Callithrix jacchus: one gene and its partners. The protein of the gene in region 3 interacts with the protein of the main gene of each other region in a biochemical or structural test. Links are inferred from orthologs where the notes say so. Each region holds a gene or a part of one and is shown on either strand. Other genes may lie near its edges.

The links.
Region 1: of the proteins of HLTF (region 3) and PCNA, one has a biochemical effect on the other in vitro, tested with the Homo sapiens proteins (2 studies listed by BioGRID). The link is inferred for Callithrix jacchus from reciprocal best matches to the Homo sapiens genes HLTF and PCNA.
Region 2: the proteins of HLTF (region 3) and UBE2V2 form a complex in vitro, tested with the Homo sapiens proteins (2 studies listed by BioGRID). The link is inferred for Callithrix jacchus from reciprocal best matches to the Homo sapiens genes HLTF and UBE2V2.
Region 4: the proteins of HLTF (region 3) and RAD18 form a complex in vitro, tested with the Homo sapiens proteins (2 studies listed by BioGRID). The link is inferred for Callithrix jacchus from reciprocal best matches to the Homo sapiens genes HLTF and RAD18.

The regions. Positions count from the first base shown.
Region 1 is NC_133506.1:12,558,335-12,563,394, reverse strand, and holds the start of PCNA (proliferating cell nuclear antigen), read left to right. Parts: upstream 1-2,018; 5' UTR 2,019-2,160; intron 2,161-4,613; exon of another isoform or gene 4,614-4,766; intron 4,767-5,060. UniProt on the Homo sapiens protein: Auxiliary protein of DNA polymerase delta and epsilon, is involved in the control of eukaryotic DNA replication by increasing the polymerase's processibility during elongation of the leading strand.
Region 2 is NC_133517.1:6,663,632-6,668,444, reverse strand, and holds the start of UBE2V2 (ubiquitin-conjugating enzyme E2 variant 2), read left to right. Parts: upstream 1-1,340; 5' UTR 1,341-1,342; coding exon 1,343-1,439; intron 1,440-1,663; exon of another isoform or gene 1,664-1,833; intron 1,834-1,963; exon of another isoform or gene 1,964-2,119; intron 2,120-4,813. UniProt on the Homo sapiens protein: Has no ubiquitin ligase activity on its own. The UBE2V2/UBE2N heterodimer catalyzes the synthesis of non-canonical poly-ubiquitin chains that are linked through 'Lys-63'. This type of poly-ubiquitination does not lead to protein degradation by the proteasome.
Region 3 is NC_133518.1:36,208,126-36,212,493, forward strand, and holds part of HLTF (helicase-like transcription factor), read left to right. Parts: intron 1-919; coding exon 920-1,099; intron 1,100-4,368. UniProt on the Homo sapiens protein: Has both helicase and E3 ubiquitin ligase activities. Possesses intrinsic ATP-dependent nucleosome-remodeling activity; This activity may be required for transcriptional activation or repression of specific target promoters.
Region 4 is NC_133516.1:66,167,370-66,172,436, reverse strand, and holds the start of RAD18 (E3 ubiquitin-protein ligase RAD18), read left to right. Parts: upstream 1-1,745; 5' UTR 1,746-1,832; coding exon 1,833-1,883; intron 1,884-5,067. UniProt on the Homo sapiens protein: E3 ubiquitin-protein ligase involved in postreplication repair of UV-damaged DNA. Postreplication repair functions in gap-filling of a daughter strand on replication of damaged DNA.

The DNA of each region.
Region 1 (5,060 bases), on a different chromosome or scaffold from region 3:
AACTGCTAAATCCTTAGCCCTAGCCCTAAATTGTCTCCAAAATATGTTTTTTTTGTTTTTGTTTTTTGAGACAGGATCTCAAACTCCTGGGCTCAAGCGATCCTCCTGCCTCAGCCTCCCTAGTAGCTAGGATTACAGTTGTTCAGCACTGTGCCTGGCCAAAATACATTTTCTAAAATTCAGTATGAACAGTTTTCTTTGGATGGTCCACTGTCAATTGCAATAACACAAAAGTTGATTTTAAAAAAAACAACCATTATCTTTCACCCAAAACATTCCTCCTAGTGTAATTGATCTGTTGACATCCTGTCACCAGATCTTGTGCTTTCTTCCTTCTTGGTGTCTCCCTAATGTCCCTTTCTTCCAGTTATCAAAAAGTTACAGGCTGCATTAGAAGAAGCCATGAGCCTGGGTGTAAGGCAACAGGAATTGGTGGGAACAGATGATCCTCAGCTCCAGCCAATCATTAATCAGGTGAGAAAATGATGGTGGACCCTCCAATTATCTAAGGCAAGAAACTTAGATTGTTAGGAGAAATTTTCTGATTTTTAAGGCAACATGTGGGCCAAAGAAAACATCTACAGGTCACCCATGGGCAATCCCCAAGTGAACCAGTCTCCCTCATTCTAGTCCAAGCTCCCTCAATCCATTCTACACATCACTGCCAGATCAGTTTTCCAAATACAGGACTCCTGACCACTGCTATCTCGGAAAGCACAACTACAACTACAAAGTCCTATGCTGCCATTCAATGTCCACAGTAATACAACTACTCCCTACCTTCCTCAACTCCCCTACACAGACCTTTCACTTCACCCAAAGGAATCTACTCCCACACCCGTCACCCCCCAGCCGCTGTCCCCGCCAAGATGGCCTCCTTCCTACTCTCCTCCCCTACTCACCAGAACCCATACGGCACAGGAAACAACCCATCAACTGGGAGGACTCCCTCCAACACCTGCTGATGACGGGGTGGCTCACTGCGTAACACACCTCTCTGCTCAAAGCCGATGATTTCCTGTCCAAGAAGGGATTTACATATGCCAGGAGGCAAATGCTATGGCCTTGTCCCGATTCCGACACCCCCCAAAATAATAACATTGCAAAAGGGAACGGAGAGCCTAAGTCGCGGTCAGAGGAGCCGCCTATCTGAGAAAGCTCTGCACATCTTCACCTCCAGGAAGGCCTCAGGGAGGTAGGGGGAGAGGGGGGTCCCGCAGTCAGCCCAGCGAGGCAGGAGGCCGTGCGCCACTCCAGGCGAGCTCCTTCCTGCGCCCCAGGGGAGCCACTCCAGCCAGACCCTGAGCCGGGACTCCGACCCGCCAACCCTTGACATGCGCGCAGCAAAGGCTAGGCACCCGAGGACCCATCGCGCTGCCCGGGGCCGCCGTCCGCCACGACAAGGGATCAGAGGACTAGAGGACCCCCCTGCGCGCGTCCCCACCGGGCCTCCTGGATGCGCCGCTGTCCCGGCCGCGCCCACCCCGAGGCTGCCGCTACCTTGTCCTCGGGCGGCGCATCCGGCTCGTGGGCCACCCTCTGCCTCAGCTCGGTCATCCTGGAAAAACCTGCCCGACGTCGCCGCGGGCGAGCAGCGCAGCAGCCAGGAAAGGCAGCTCAGCGCGGGCACGCGCGGACTCCCTCGGCCGGCCCCGCCCCGCCCGGGAGTCGCGCGGCTCCGAACAGCTCACAGTTCCCTTAGCAGCCCAGCAGCCAGCCCTGGAGCTCGGCCCCGCCCAGCGCCGTCACGGCCCTTTCACCCGGGCGGAGCAGGGTCTGCCTTCCCTGGCCCCGGCCCGCGAGCTCCTCCTCCCCGGAGGCGGGCTCGGAGCGAGTGCGCACGCGCAGCGCCGCCATCACGACCCGAAAGATCGACCAACGGCGCAAATACGCCAGGGACAGGGAGACGGGGGCGGGGCGGAGCAGAGTTGAGAGGCTCGCATTGGACGGCAGCGTCAGGGGCGGGAATAGGCGTGCGTTTCAGAGTCCGATTAGCCAATGGGAGCTCCTGCTTCAATGCAGATGGCTGAAGCTGGCGCCCTGGTTCTGGAGGTAACGGATTACCGACGGCGAGAGGCGCCACCCGGAGGCTCTAGCCTGACAAATACTTGCTGACCTGGGCTCTGAGCCCGCAGCAGCAAGGGCTCTTTCTTCACGCAAGTAAGTAGACGTTATTTAGGCCGAATGGAGAGGCCAGGTGAGCCGACCTGATTAAAAGCATTATCGCTTATCACATGATGAGAAGTGGAACCCACACTTCAATCTGCCTTGCTTTGCCAAGCGGTCTCTAGTACTTGTTGAGCGCTAACTGTATACTAGGCACTGAGCTGGGTAATCGCTTTAGTTGGCTTATCTCATTTAATCCACACATGGCTTGGAAGTGAGTATGATTTGCATTTTGCAGTTGAGATCTTCCTCAGTTTATTTATTTATTTATTATTGAGACAGAGTCTCGCTCTGTCGCCCACTATCTCAGCTCACTGCAGCCTCCTCCTCCCGGGTTCAAGCAATTCTGTCTCAGCCTTCCGAGGAGCCGGGACTACAGGCGCTCGCCACCACGCCCGGCCAATTTTTGTATTTTTAGTAGAGACAGGGTTTCACCATATCAGGCTGGTCTTGAACTGCTGACTTCAGATGATCCGCCCATCTTGGCCTCCCAAAGTGTTGGGATTACAGGCGTGAGCCACTGCACCGAGCCCTTCCTCACTTTCTAAAATTTGTCTTCTGGACTATGGAAAGGCTCAATAATTTTGAGCCAGGCTGGCCAACATAGTGAAACCCCATCGCTACCAGAAATACAAAAATTAGCTGGCCATGGTGGCGGGAGCCTGTAATCTCAGCTACTCAGATGGCTGAGGCAGGAGAATCGCTTGAACCTGGGAGGCAGAGGTTCCAGTGTGCGGAGGTCACGCCACTTGCACTCCAGCCTAGGTGACAGAGTGACATTCCATCTCAAACAAAAAATGATTTACTTTGACGGCTGCTAAAATTATTGATGGAGGGGCCATCCTAAAGTAACTAAATTTCTGGGGGAGGGCCAAGTGGAATAGGCTTTTTTAAAGCTCCCCAGGTGAGTCTAGAGTGCAGCCAGGATTGAGAATAATTCTGATACATATTACCTTATGAAGAAATTTGCCAGATACTACATAAAATAATTTATAGCATTTTCTCCCAGTATTCATTTTCTGACCAATACATTTTTACTGAAAAAAGTATAGAAAATACAGAAAATGCAAGAAAAATTTAAAATTATTTGTGGCACCATCAGCCAGATAATTACTGTTCATATTTATCTTCTTGCTTTTCCATTCCATTTACTGTACACATACACCCAGATATAACAATTTGAGAAAATTGGAATACCTTTGTTTATTCTGCTTCATAACGTGATTTTTCTCTTTATTAAGCTCTTTGCAAATCGTACGTTAGAGGCTAAACAATATTCCATCTTACAGATTTATCACAATTTACCTAACAAATGCAAACACTGTTAGACCTTAAGGTTATGTCCAATTTCTGGGGGAATTATTAATAATTCTGTAAGAGGCCAGGCACGGTGGCTCATGTCTGTAACCCCAGCACTTTGGGAGGCAAAGGTGGGAGGATCATTTGAGCCCAAGAGTTTGAGACCAGCCTAGGCAATATGGTGAAACCCTATCTCTCCAAAATATTAGCTGGGCTTGGTGGTGTTCACCTGTAGTCCCAGCCACTTGGAAGGCTGAGGTGGGAGGATCACCTGAGCCCAGGTCAAAGCTGTGGTGAGGTGAGCTCATGCTACTGTACCTCAGCCTGGATGACAAAGTGAGAACCTTTCTCAAAAATAATAATCATCGGGCGGGGCATGGTGGCTCACACCTGTAATCCCAGCACTTTAGGAGGCTGTGGCGGGCAGATCACAAGATCAAGACCATCCTGACCTACATGGTGAAACCCCGACTCTACTAAAACATTCAAAAATTAGCTAGGCATGGTGGCACACACCTGTAGTTCCAGCTACTCGAGAGGCTGAGGCAGGAGAATTGCTTGAACCCGGGAGGCAGAGGTTGCAGTGATCTGAGATGGCACCACTGCACGCCAGCCTGGTGACAGAGCAAGACTCCATCTCCAAAAAAAAAAAAAAATTGTCAGTCATCATCATCATTCTGTAAGAAACATTTTTTTTTTTTTTTTGAAACATAGTCTTGCCCTGTTGCCCAGGCTGGAGGGGAGTGTCGCAATTTTGGTTCACTGTAACCTCTGCCTCCCAGGTTCAAGCAATTTGTGCCTCAGCCTCCCAAGTAGCTGGGATTACAGGTGTGTGCCACCACACCCAGCTAATTTTTGTATTTTCAGTAGAGACAGAGATTCACTTTGTTGATCAGGCTGGTCTGGAACTCCTGACCTCAAGTAATCTGCCCACCTTGGCCTCCCAAAGTGCTGGGATTACAGGTGTGTGCCACTGTGCCCAGCTGCTTTTATTATTTTCTAATAGTTTAATATCTGATCAAAATTTACTTAATTGATTCTTTACTGATTCAATAGTACATTTACTAGATGTTAAAGTATCCTCTTAAAATGTAAATTGGATCATATCAAAGACCTGCTGTTGACAACGTTCGCTTGCACTTTTACAGAGCCTACAAAGTCCTGCAAGAGTTCACCCCAGCCTCTCTGCAACCTCACCGAAACCTCACCTTGCACCACTCTTACTCCAGATGCAACCTCACCTTGCACCACTCTAGCACTTAGTCTGAGTGCTACATCTAACTTGTCTGAATATATTCCAAGTATGCTGACCTTTATTTTTTTATTTTATTTTATTTTTTTTGAGACGGAGTTTTTGCTCTTGTTACCCAGGCTGGAGTGCAATGGAGCGATCTCGGCTCACTGCAACCTCCGCTTCCTGGGTTCAGGCAATTCTCCTGCCTCAGCCTCCTGAGTAGCTGGGATTACAGGCACGCGCCACCATGCCCAGCTAATTTTTTGTATTTTTAGTAGAGATGGGGTTTCACCATGTTGACCAGGATTGTCTCGATCTCTTGACCTTGTGATCCACCCGCTTCGGCCTCCCAAAGTGCTGG
Region 2 (4,813 bases), on a different chromosome or scaffold from region 3:
TACAGTGGTGCCATCATAGCTCATTGTAACCTTAACTTCTTAACCTTCTGGCTCAAGTGATCCTCCCATCTCAGCCTCCTGAGTAGCTGAGGCTACAGGCATGAACCACCTGTAGACACAGGGTATCACTATGTAGACTATTTTATGTAGACACAGGGTATCACTATGTTGTCCAGGCTGGTCTCAAACTCTTGGGCTTAAGCAGTCCTCCTGCCTCAGCCTCCCAAAGTGTTAGGATTACAGAAGTGAGCTGTGGGCCGGATGCGGTGGCTCACACCTGTAATCCCAGCACTCTGGGAGGTTGAAGTGGACGGGTCACCTGAGGTCATGAGTTCAAAACCAGCCTGGCCAACATTGTGAAATCTCTACTATAAATACAAAAATTGGCTAGGCCTGGTGACTCACGCCTGTAATCCCAGCACTGTGGGAGGCCGAGGTGGATCATGAAGTCAGGAGTCTGAGATCGGCCTGACCAACGTGGTGAAACCCATCTCTAATTAAAAACAAATATATACAAAATTGAACCGTGCTCGGGAGGCTGAGGCAGGAGAATTGCTTGAACCCAGGAGGCAGACATTGCAGTGAGCCAAGATCGTACCACTGCACTTCAGCCTGGGTGACAAAGACTGTCTCAAAAAAGAAGAAGAAGAAAGAAGGAGGAGGAGGAGAAGAAATTAGTAGTAGTAGAAGTAGTGAGCTGCGGTGCCCAGCCTGTATTACTTTTCTTTCTTTCTTTTCTTTGAGACAGAGTTTCCCTCTGTTACCCAGGCTGGAGTGCAGTGATCTCTGCTCACTACAGCTGGACCTCTTGGGCTCAAGCAATCCTCCCATCTCAGTCTCCCTTGCTCCTTAACTTTGTCCAACTCTTTTGAATCATTTATCAACGCAAATGCGTCAATGCCCACTTGTTTTATTTTTATTTTTTGAGATGGCGTCTCGCTCTGTAGCCCAGGCTGGAGTCCAGTGGCGAGATCTAGGTTCACTGCAACCTCTGCCTCTCCGGTTCAAGAGATTTCTCGTGCCTCAGCCTCCCAAGTAGCTGAGATTATCTGAGCGCGCCACCACGTCTGGCTAATTTTTGTGTTTTTTAGCAGAGAGGGTTTCGCCATGTTGGCCAGGTCGGTTTCGAACTCATGACCTCAAGTGGTCTGCCCGCCTCGGCCTCCCAAAGTGCAAAGGGCGTGAGCCACCGCGCCTGGCCCTCATGAAGTTATTTCATTTTGAGAGCAGATTCACAAGGAACCGCAGAAACAGCAGCAAGGCCCGCGACACCTCGGCCCACGTGCGCGCTGTCACTGCTAGGGTAGCCCCCGCCAGCCGGGGGCGGAGGCCGCCGTGACGAATGCAGGGCTGCGCGCTCCCGGAAGTGACGTGCGACGGCTCGTGCGTGCGTGCGGGCGGCTGCGTCGGGCTGCAGGAGAAGATGGCGGTCTCCACAGGTCTGTTCCCGGGCCGGGCTGCCTGCTTTTCCGCTCCGACCCGGCTCTGTCTCTCCGCCTGCTGCTGGCGGCCGAGCTGTGACCTTGTGGGGAAAGCTCGAGAGCGCTGTCTCGAATGCTGCGCTTTCTGTGGAGCGAAGCCTGGGACCGGGTGGGACCGGCGCCGAGGGCCCCGGCGGCCGTCGGGGTGGTGGGTCGTGCTCGCGCGTCGGCCGCGCGCCTGCAGGCTGGGGGCGGGGTGTTTCCCGCGCGGGTGCACCCGTAGGGTCCGGCGGGTGCCGGTCCTAGTTGTGGGCTGAAGGCTCTACGGGAGAGAGGCGAGGAGGCCCAAGGTGGACGGGTGTCAACCTCCGACACCGGAGAGGGGTCAGGCCAAGAGGTGTCCTGGATCATGGTGGGGGTCCCATTCCCCGGGACTCTCCTTGACATGGGTGTGGGAGTAGAGATCGGTTGCTCCTTAAAATAAGGGAGGGATAGAGGGTCATTCTTACCCGACTGAATACGTATTTTTTTTTTTATTTAAGTGAAAAACTGCAGTGCAAACAAAATAAAAGCACAGAGCAAGATGAAAGCTAATTGAAGAACAAGTGGTTTCTTAGATAAGCCGTTCAACTCCTCTTTCCTACTGAATACAATGTATTAACGCTGAGGTTTTAGACCATTTCGGAAACGTTAAAAAGGTTAAGTTTTACTACACGTTTAAAAATGTCAACACATATGATCTGCCTTTTCCTAGACTTCATTGAAACTAGATTATAGAGCACTGTGATTTAATAGTTCATGCCATCTTTGCATAATAAAATGAATTTTCAAATCCGTATTTACTGAAATGCAAGGCTTCGAATGTATGTTGTAATTGTTAGAGTAATACCTCAGGATACATTCTGCATGATTTTTTTTTTTTTTTTTTTTGAGGCGGAGTTTCCCTCTTGTTGCCCGGGCTGGAGTGCAATGGTGTGAGCTCAGCTCACCACAACCTCCACCTCCCAGGTTCAAGTGATTCTCCTGCCTCAGCCTCCCGAGGTCGCTTATGCCTGTAACCCCAGCACTTTGGGAGGGCGAGGCGGTCGGATCTTTTGAGGTCTGGAGTTCGAGACTAGCCTGACCAACATGGAGAAACTCCTTCTCTACTAAAAATACAAAATTAGCCCGGCATGGTGGCGCATGCCTGTAATCCCAGCTACTTGAGAGGCTGAGGCAGGAGAATTGCTTGAACCCAGGAGGCGGAAGTTGAGTGAGCAGAGATCGCGCCATTGCACTCCAGCCTGGGCAACAAGAGTGAAACTCTGTCCAAAAAAAAAAGGCATTTTAGTGTTATGACTTTACTGTGCGTGCTGTTTGAAATCTGTGTGCTCGTTAATGGCGTCATATATTTTTAAGAGTTGTGCTTAGGGCCTCTTAGAGATTTTTGAGTATTTAGTAATAAAATATTGCATTTTTTTTTTTTCTCTGTCTCCAGGTGTCAGGCTGGAGTGCAGTGGTGTGATCTCGGCTCACTGCAACCTCTCCCTGGTTCAGGCAATCCTCCTGCCTCAGCCTCTGGAGTAGCTGGGACTACAGGCGCGCACCACCACGCCCAGCTAATTTTTGTATTTTAGTAGAGACAGGGTTTCACTATGTTGGCCAGGATAGTCTTGATCTAACCTCGCGATCCCCCCACCTTGGCCTCTCAAAGTGCTAGGATTACAGGCGTGAGCCACCGCGCCTGGCTAAAATAATGCATTTTAATGTAGTAGTTTTCATTTTCATTTTGTGAATTGCATTATTTATTTAAACACAATTTTTTTCATAACACTGAGCATATGAGTGAATGTTATATTTTGAAAAGACCAAAGGTTAGATGATATTAATGGCAAATACTTTTTGTTAAGGACTTTTAGTTTTGAAAATTGAATATAAATTATAAAGATTACTGATAAATTATTAGCATGTTGTAGATAGGGAGTCTGTATCTTCTTTTTCTCTGTAAAAATAGAGATGGGGTCTCACTATGTTGAATGACAATGCTTCCTACTTCGAATTTGAAGTTGGTCTCAAATTGCTGGCTCAAGAGATCCTCCCACCTCAGCCTCCCAAAGTGCTCAGGTTACAGGTGTGAGCCACCATACTTGGCCAATATTTTCTAATTTTTATTTCAGCATTCTGTTACAGTTTTACTTCCTTTTTAGACTTAGGAAATTTGAAATCTTGGGGAAATTAAGAAGTTAATATATTTTAGAGAGTTAATGAAATTTTTGTAAACCACTGAAATTTGATTTGAAACTATTGCTAAAAACCTGCCCTGTTCAGTTTCGTATTTTGTTTATTCATTTTCTGTACTTTAGATAATTGATAATATAGTCAAACTGGGTGGGAGATGAGCTCAGAAGAAACTTTACCACTGTGGGGTTTTTTTTTTTTTTTAGTTTTTTAAATCTTTTATTTTTTTCAGGCACCTGCCACCACACCTGGCTAATTTTTGTATTTTTAGTAGACAGGGTTTTACCATGTTGGCCAGGCAGGTCTGGAACTTCTCACCTCAGGTGATCCGCCTGCCTCAGCCTCCCAAAGTGCTCCCGTCTACCAATTAGATTATTATTATTTTTTTTTTGAGATGGAGTCTTGCTTCTTTGCCCAGGCTGGAGTGAAGTGCCATGATCTTGGCTCACTGCAATCTCTGCCTCTTGGGTTCAAGCATTCTCCTGTCTCAGCCTCCTCAGTAGGTGGGATTACAGACTTGCGCTACCATGCCTGGCTAATTTTTGTATTTTTAGTAGAGACGGGGTTTCCCCTTGGCCAGGCTGGTCACGAACTCCTGACCTTTAGTAATCCACCCATCTTGGCCTCCCAAAGTACAGGGATTACAGGTGTGAGCCACTGTGCCTGGTCTATTAATTAGTTTTAATTATACTATTAGCTATACTTTTGTTTGCTTTTTGGTAACATGGGAAGTAAATAATACCTGTGTATTTGTGAAAGCAATGTGATACAGCTTAAAATTCAAAAATTTTAAAATTAGACGAGGTAGATGCAAAAAAGGTAATGCACCTTTTTTTTTCTTTTTTTGAGACTGAGTCTCTCTGGTGAGGCTGGAGTGCAATGGCGTGATCTCAGCTGACTGCAACCTTTGCCTCCCAGGTTTAAGCAATTCTCCTACCTCAGCCTTCTTGGTACCTGGGATTATGGGCATGCACCACCATGCTCAGCTAATTTATTGTATATAGTTTTTTAGTAGAGATAGGGTTTCACCATGTTGGCCAGGTAGTTCTTGAACTCCTAACCTCAGGTGATCCACCTGCCCTGGCCTCCCAAAGTGGTGGGTTTGCAGGCATGAGCCACCTAGCCTGGCCTAAGGCACGTGTTTTGTGTTGTTGTTTTTTTTTTTTTTGAAACGG
Region 3 (4,368 bases):
GCTGGACTAATGTGGTTCAACTTTTTGGCCAAAGGAGCAGTGTATAGACTAAGGATTTGAGCTCCATTAGTGGGATAAAAAAATCTTTATAAAGATGGTAGCCAGCATTTAAAAAGACCATGAAATAGAGAAGAAGCAATAAGTAAATATCAGAGTGCATGATACATAATAAGTATTATTTTGAGAAATAATTATTTCTTTTGTATGTGTTTGTATATTTTTGTGGGATGGAATAAAATGTGTTTCTTATTGTGAGTTATAATGAAAAGCTTCAAGAGCCACTAACCTAGTTGGCAGCACTGTCCACTTGATTCCTCAGAACCAACTATTTAAACTCCAGGAAATTGTATTTATATTTCAATGTTGGGAAGAAAGTAAGAATTGATACACTTCTTTTTTTCTAATACTGGAAAGGAAATGTAAAGATTGTGGAACCTGTAAAGCATTTCTGTCTTATGAATTCCCATATTACGTTTTTATTTTGGGGACACTCATTACTTTACACAATTACTTTTTTATGTACCTTTGATTTTCATATTACAGAAGGTAGTATCTTACCCATATTTGTGTTGTTACAACATTTAATTCAGTGTCTTGCACGTAATAGATACTTAGAATTTGAGTGTTAACTATTGGGTGATAGACTTGGCAGGACAGTTGAGAAGTGAAAGAGTCAATGATTAGAATAAAAATGGCAAGCAGAGCTTAAGAGAATAAGAGCAGGATATAAGAACATTAAACTGTGATAGGTATTGAGGGGAAATTTCCTTGCATTTGTTTTAATTTATTTTTGTAAAATACTTCTGTGATTATCAGATTGGTTAAAACCCCAAATAAGGGATTTGACTTTTTTTGTTCTTATTGGATCAATTTATATAGAAATTAAACGTTACATAATTATTTGTTTTATCCTGATTAGGCGTTTACAGTCCCTAATTAAAAATATTACACTTAGAAGAACAAAGACAAGCAAAATTAAAGGAAAACCTGTTTTGGAGTTACCAGAACGTAAAGTATTTATTCAGCACATTACACTTTCAGATGACGAAAGAAGGATTTATCAGTCTGTGAAAAATGAAGGCAGAGCTACTATTGGAAGGTATGGAGAAAGAAAGCCATTGAATTATAGTATGTTTTACAAATTAATAGTTAAAGTGAATGAAATAATAGTATCATTCACCAGATAAGTAATTTCTTAAGTTTGGAATAAATTTAAAGCTTACATTAAACCAAAGTTCTTAGTTGCTAGCCAGAAGACCTTGCTTGCTTCTATTTCCAGCATCGTGTGGAAATCTGGGAATAGGAACCGATGAAAGAGGTTTAACAAGAAGATTAAGGATTGGTAGAAGGTGTGAAATTCTAGTCCAAGCAAGATCAGATTTAATATGAATGCCCATAGGGAACAGAATGAATAAGAGACAAGTGAAAGCAGAATAGGACTGTGAAAGGGGAATCTTCAAAGCATAAAAACTTCAGTGAGGTAGGTACAAAGCAGATTTGATAGGAATTAGAGAGACTGGGAAAGATTGTTCTAAGCAGGAGATTTCTGAGTTCAAAACTTATTTCTTTTCATATTCTTTCGACAAAAATTTATTAAGTGCCCACTGTGTGCCAGGCAATACAGATTGGGATACAGCAGAATAAAATGCAAAAATCCCTGCACCCAAGGAATTTATATTTTAATGGGAATAAATGGAATTTTAAAACATGATTACGTTTTATGGAATAAAGCAATGAAAGGGGATGGAGAATGCCAAAGCTATTTTAGTAGGGCATTAAGGAAGACTTCACGAGAAGATGATATATAGGCAAAGATCTAAAGGAGATTGGGATTAAGGGGTGTTTCAGCCAGAAGAAACAGCAAGTGTAAATGCTCCCAGTTGGGAGCATGTCTGGGGAGCTTGAAGAAGAACAGAGAGGCAAGTATGGCTGGATAGTATGAACAAAAGGGAAAATAGTCATGATATCAAAGATGTATTGGAATGGGGCTGTGTAATACATATTTCAAGGACTTTGGGTTTTACTTTTTATGACAGGAAACCTTAAAGGGTTTCAAGCCAGGAGAGTGACATAATTTGATTTGTATTTTTAAAAGATCACTCTGGCCTGCGGTGTTCAGATTTAGGTTGTTTGAATAGGAATAAGTTCAGAAATAGGGAGACCAGTAGCAATCAAAGTAAGAGATGATGGTGGGTTTTTTTTTTTGAGACGGAGTTTCGCTCTTGTTACCCAAGCTGGAGTGCAATGGCGCGATCTCGGCTCACCTCAACCTCTGCCTCCTGGGTTCAGGCATTTCTCCTGCCTCAGCCTCCTGAGTAGCTGGGATTACAGGCACGTGCCACCATGCCCAGCTAATTTTTTGTATTTTTAGTAGAGACGGGGTTTCACCTTGTTGACCAGGATGGTCTCGATTTCTTGACCTGGTGATCCAACCGCCTCGGCCTCCCAAAGTGCTGGGATTACAGGCATAAGCCACCGATGGTGGTTTTTTTTACCATGGTAGTGATAAAGGAAATGAGAAATGATTAGATTCTGTTAAATTGTGAATATAAAACCAACAGAACTTGCTGGTGGATATGCTATGGTGTGTGAACGAGAGGAGTCAAAGATAACTTCAAGCCTTTTTACCTGAATATCTGGAAGGATGGAATTGCCATTTACCAAGACAGTTCTACGGGAAGGGCAGAGCAGTTTAGGTGATCTGTACCATTGTCACACAGTTAGTGAATGACAGGACTGATATTTAAACTCTGGCAGTTTGGTTTAGAGCTTGTAAGTTTAACCTTTGTATTATTTTGCCTATTCCTTACATTGTTAAATATTCAGAAGTATTTGTTGCCATAATACTACCGGTACTAATACTAGCAGCAGATTAGCAGACTAACACTAGCAGCAGTGTATAGCACTTAATATAGTCCCAGCACTATTTTAAATACTTTACATGTATTAAATTAAATAACAGTAGTTCTATGAGGTAAGCACTTTAACAATGCCACTGTACAACTGAGGAAGCTCAAGACATAGGTTAAGCACCTGTCCAAGGTTACATAATTAAAGTGGCAGAGCCAGGTTTTGAATTCATGACCAGCTAACTCTAAAAATCTGTGCTCTTAGCCATTAGGCTATATTTCTTCTGTTGCTTTAAAATACTTAAATATCTCAGATGGCCTGGTTATATAATTTTTGGATCACCCATTTCCTTCAGAATCTATATTGTCATTGTATCACTGTATTTTGCATTGAATGTTTCTGTGGGGAAGACTGGTTTTGTTTTGTCTTTTTTTCCTCTAAAGTTTAGCAACCTCCTTGTTGACTTTCCCTGTGGTATTATTTAAATCTTTAGATTCTAGGCTTTTTTCCCCCTTTCCTGGAAAGCTTTCTTTAAATATTGTTTTCTGTTCCATTATTTTATTTCTCTGTGTGTATGTTAGATGTCTTTTATCTGCATTCCATAGGTATCATTTTTTTTATTTATTTATTTATTTTTGAGATGGAGTCTCTCTCTGTCACCCTGGCTGGAGTGCAATGGCGTGATCTCAGCTTACTGCAACCCCTGCCTCCCAGGTTCAAGCGATTCTCCTGCCTCAGCCTCCCGAGTAGCTGGGACTGCAGGTGCCTGTCACCACACCCAGCTAATTTTTGTATTTTTAGTTGAGATGGGGTTTCCTCATATTGGCCAGGCTGGTCTCAAATTCCTGACCTTGTGATCTGCCTGCCTCAGCCTCCCAGAGTGCTGGGATTACAGGCATGAGCCACTGCGCCTGGCCTGTTTCTGATCTTTTACATTTTTTTGTTTAATTTTGTTTTTTCAATCCTGTTTCCTACATCCTTTTCTATGTTTTTATCAGTTACTAGCCTTTTTGATAATGACTTATATTGGTTTCAGTGTGACTTTCATTTCTCTGATGATTCACTGTTTTCTTTCACTTTCTTGAGCTATACCAGCTCATCTTTCATCTCTTTATGTTGTCTTGCCATTTTTTTTTTCAAAGCTCTTTGTCTTTGCTTTAAGCTTTTTTTTTTTGAGACGGAGTTTCGCTCTTGTTACCCAGGCTGGAGTGCAATGGCGCGATCTCAGCTCACCGCAACCTCCGCCTCCTGGGTTCAGGCAATTCTCCTGCCTCAGCCTCCCGAGCAGCTGTGCTTTAAGCTTTTTTTGGGGAAGAACTGTTTTATTGGGTGATGTTAAATTATGACAGTATCTTTGGTCATAACTTTTGCTTGCTCTGTGGCAACATTTTTCTGCTGTTTCCTTTCACTGCCATTTGTTCCCTACCTTTGCTCTCTGCTGATTATTACTTATACTTGAATATTTTGAGTTCTTGTTACAAGCTGTTTGCTAGATTATTTGCACATGAAGGGAAAGAT
Region 4 (5,067 bases), on a different chromosome or scaffold from region 3:
TGGCACCATAAACCTCCATTCCTCATCTTCCTTTTGGGAGTCCCACTAGGTCCAACAACCTGAGATTCTCAGACCTGGCTCTGCCCCTTGACTTGGTTTACTTAACTGTTTCTCAAAAAATTATCAGTGGGTGATTTCTTCTGGTTTTAGGTTAAAAGACCTAGGTTCCATCCTGGATAATGCCACTGACAAACTGTGGTTTATATGAATTCCTTTACCTCTCTAAGACTTAGTTCTCATGATGAAGGCCTTATGAGAATATTCTGTTGTGGTCAATATGGACTCTCAAGCCAGACTGAGTTCAAATCTTTCATCTTCCACTACCAGCAGGGTGCCTTGTGAATAAGTCAAATAAGTGCATATGTGTAAAAAACTTAGAATGGTGTTTTGCATACACGTGCCTAATAAATGCCAGCTACTACTGTAATGGATACTAAAGTCCTTTCTCTTTTTTTTGAGACGGAGTTTCGCTCTTCTTACCCAGGCTGGAGTGCAATGGCGCGATCTTGGCTCACTGCAGCCTCCGCCTCCTGGGTTCAGGCAATTCTCCTGCCTCAGCCTCCTGAGTAGCTGGGATTACAGGCACGCGCCACCATGCCCAGCTGATTTTTTGTATTTTTAGTAGAGACGGGGTTTCACCATGTTGACCAGGATGGTCTTGATCTCTTGACCTTGTGATCCACCCGCCTCAGCCTCCAAAGTCTAAAGTCCTTTCTCTAAATGCTATTAGTATTAATATTACTGCCCAGTAAGTATTTGGGTGCAAGCTGGGAAAAATCAATTGAATACAGCTTTGGCTAAGAGACTAGAGGGTTCTTATGAAGAGAACTCAGAGGAGTGAAGTCTTAAGCTTTCTGAGCCTCAGTGTCCTCATTTGTAAGATGGCCATAACAGTCTAATCTCTGCCTGCTTCCCAAGAAAGCTCAAGTGCCTGGCCCGTTGTAAGCATTCAGAAAATATTTGTGAAATGAATCAGTGCATGGACCACGTGGGGCGTGTTCTTCATCTTAAGCCTCAATGGGCTCCAAAATGTCCCTTCCTAGATTCTACAAAAAGAGTGTTTCCAACCTACTGAATCAAAACAGAGGTTTCAACTGTGTGAGAATCCACACATTGCAAGGCATTTTCAGATAGCTGGTTTCTAGTTTTTATTGTGGGATATTCGGATTTTGCCATGAGCCTATATGGATTCCGAAATGTCCCTTCCCAGATTCTTGCTAACTTGGTGGGAATATCAAGGGCAAGGATTCAAGGGTGGGGATATTGCTAACTTGATTTAGCAGAGTTCTTTGCTAAAACTGGATTTTATCACGAAGTACACAGATTGGCCTAGGAGAAGGTTCAGGAGCCTGACTAAAGTTTGGTCAAGCCAAGAATCTTTGCCAATTTGCATAGGAAATATCTGGAAGGCTATATGCCGAAGTTAATAGTGCTTCTCTCTGAAGAAAAACTGTACATTAAAATTTTAATATGATTAAAAGGAAGAGCTCCTATTTAAACTCCAGAGGTCCTGTTTCGAATCTGACTCGAAACTCTATTCAGCTTTTCCGGAGTAGTTTCCGCTTGTGTAAACTGACAATGATAACACCTACCTCCCAGTGTTGTAATATGGGAGAGATATTACACAGTAGCGGACATAGCCTAGCGCAGGCGCAGTACAAGCACCATCAGCAGCGCCCCGCCCACATCCTACTACAATTTCCGGCAGGCTCCGCGCCCGCCTCTGGCGCGTCGCGGGTTGTGACGTAATGCGATAGCGCGGGGAATTTCGAGTGGTATTGGAGCGCCGGAGGCTAGTTGAGTGGTAGACCCCAGCATCTTCAGGAGCGACCATGGACTCCCTAACCGAGCCTCGGTGGCCGCCGGGCCTGGCAGTTATGAAGGTGAGTGCTTCGGGGAGGTTGGGGGCTCCCGGGTGCCTGCGGGGGGCGGTCCCTCCCTTTGAGGAGGATGTCCTCGCCTTGAGGAGAAAAAATGAGGCGCGAGAGTCGCACTGGGCCATAGTACCCGGCTCTGCTCTGTCACTAGCCGACCGCGTGGCTCTGGGTCTCAGTTTACTCCTTTGATAAGTGACAAGGACAAGCTTGGTGAGCTGAGGTTGACAGTCTAATGGAACCAGATATTCTGCGATCCAATCCGAACAGTAACATGGAGAAAAACAGCTGTTCTAAACAATGACATTGTCAGCTAACCTTCACTGAAAGCTTACTTTGTGTCAAGCACTAAACAGTGACACCGGACATGATTTTGGGTGGACACTTTATCAAGTAACATGTATGTAATCACGTAGCCAAGCAGGTAGTCTCCTTTACAGGCTCTTCTGATTATTCTCAATAAACCTACTGCTGGTTTGTACCGACATACTGCCCCAGCTCCTCCCTCACACGTCCTATCTCTTCTGTAACAATTGCTCATCTCTCTGTCTTTTAAACAAAGATCAAGATTCAGCAGTCATCTTTCATTGCATCGAATTATTTCAGTTAAATAACACTTATTTTTGTAGCCACTTTCTGTTTTGGCAAGGCAACAGTTTCCATTTACGTAGTGGTGGTCCCTGGATTTGCTCAAGAGCAGATGCACATTCCCGTGCTGGCTAAAAGTCAGTTGTTTGGTGTTTCTTTTTGCTCTGTGATTATTTTTGTTTCTGACAGTGGCTAAGATAGCCTTTTTCTCTTCCTCAGTTTTGTAGTCTTGGGGATTATAGTATCTGTCCCACTGGCTCATAAAGTTGACTTTAGAATTAAGTGAAGGCTAAAATAAGTATAAGGCCTTGTTCTTCCTGCTGTCATCCGTGATATTTAGAGGTCTTGGGGACTTGAGATATCTGCATGACGAGAAGCTGACATTGTGAAAGGATCCAGGAAAGCGGTGGTTTCGAAGTTGTGATGGGCTTGGCACCAAGATGCCGTGGAAAAGAGCACAGATTTGAATTCTAGTGGTCCTGGGTGAAATCTGATCTCTGCCTCTTAGCTGTGTGACCTTCAGTTAGTAACATAACCTCTCTGAGCCTGAATTTCTTCAACTATAAATTAGAGACAAAAATAAACAGTTCATAGGGTTGATTAAATAAATGAGTTCATGTGTGTGGGTGCAGATTCTGCAGGCTTATTCATTGTGCTTGATGCGGTGCCTGACAGAAAGTGAGTGCTCAAGTATTATTTGCTGCTTGATTGAAAGTATCTGGAATGTAGTAAGCATTCAATGAATATATTTTATTACTATTATTAGCACTGTGCTAAGTGCTTCTCTCCCCTTTTAATTTGTTGTCATGAAGCTTGATTTGGATAAGGAAAGTAAAAGAACTCTGTAACCTGTAAAGCTCCTGCTTTGTAGATTTAAGCATATTTTACATATTCCCACAATTTCAGTGTTCTTTAGAGGCAGGTTCCATGTCTTCTCTGACTTTGGTATCTCACCACGGCACTGAATATAGAGTTTGATACCACAGAGTGTTCAGTGATTGTTCAACCAGAGAGTTGATTGAGCCCATATTTTTTGCTCACATTAGAATCATAGAATCTTAAGGTTTGGAAACCAGCCTCCTTCATTATTTTAAACTCTTTTATAACATATCTGCCAATTTCTCACCTAATTTTTGCTTGAACTCTTCCAGGGACAAAGAACTATCAGATCCCAGAAGTGGATCTGACTAAAGTTACTTCTAATAGAAGTCTGACTCAGAATGCATGGTTCCTGACTTAGGATCCGTAGAAAGACTTCGGAGTCTCAAGTTATTTGTAGAATTTTCGTATATATGTTTTTCTGAGAATAGAGTCCATAGTTTTCATCTAATTTTCAAAGGGATCTGTAACCCCAAAAACTTGGGTATTTTTGTAAGTATTATGTTTTTCTACCCATTTTCTACTCCCTTTCACTTTCTCTCTCTCTAAACTAAAGACATTTTGGGGTGTCTGCTGACCACTCTCTATTCAGGCATCGTTTTTTGTTTGGTTGGTTGAGGCACATGTGATACGCATATTACAGTCTTGGAGAGACATGACCAGAAATTTGAACCCGAAATAGCTCATCTTATGGAGTGTCAACTTCCACAAATTGTGCTCTGCAGATCTTTCTGAATCATTACTCCACCGAAGAGAATGGCATAGATAAGAAAGAGTGGTATGACAGACTGGTTCCGGCTTCTGGGCCTGCCTCTGATCTTAATTGATCTTTAACATTAACCCTCTAGATTTTTGTGTCTGTGACAGCTTACCATCCACAATAATGGAAGATTTTGGCATTTTATTATTTCCCTGGTTTTATTTTAGCAAAATTGGACTCTTTTTGGCATATTGTAAATGTAATAGGTGTACACAGTAGAAAAAAATTAAAATTCAGAGTAAGATAAAGGTGAAAAAGAAAATCATCTGTAATCCTACCACCCAGAGAACCAGTGTTTAACATTTTACCTTATTTTCCTTCAGTTTTTACGCATTTAAAATTTGGGATCATTGTGGAGTCAACTTCTTGGGTTTGATTCAGCCAACCTAGGAACTCTGAAGGCTTTGTTTTTAAAATTGGGGTACTGATGCTGTGGACTTTATAAGATTGCCATGAAGATTAAACTACAGAGTTGCCATTATTATGTATTATTGGCATATATTTATTTTCTGATTTTTATTTTCCTATGGCATTAAATATTCTTTGAAAGCATGTTTTTTAATGGTTGCATAATATTTCATCATATGGACTGTTGGCAACATTAGTCTTTTTTTTGTATAAATTTTAAAAATTCAGATAATAGGTTCACTTGGTTCAGGATACACATGAAGTGAAAAGTAAAAGTTTCCTTCTTACCGTGTTCCTGGCCCTGATCATTTTTATTATTATCTTCTCATAATTTGTTTGTATTTCTGATGAAAATAGATACTTTTTTTTTTTTTGAGATAGGGTCTCACCGTCACCCAGGCTGCTTGCTGCCTTGAACTCCTGGCCTAAAGTGATCCTTCCGCCTTAGCCTCCTGAGTAGCTGGAACTACAGGCATGTGCCATCATGCCCAACTAATTTTTACTTTTTTTTATAGACATGGATTTTTGCTATTTTGCTCAGGCTGGTCTTGAATTCCT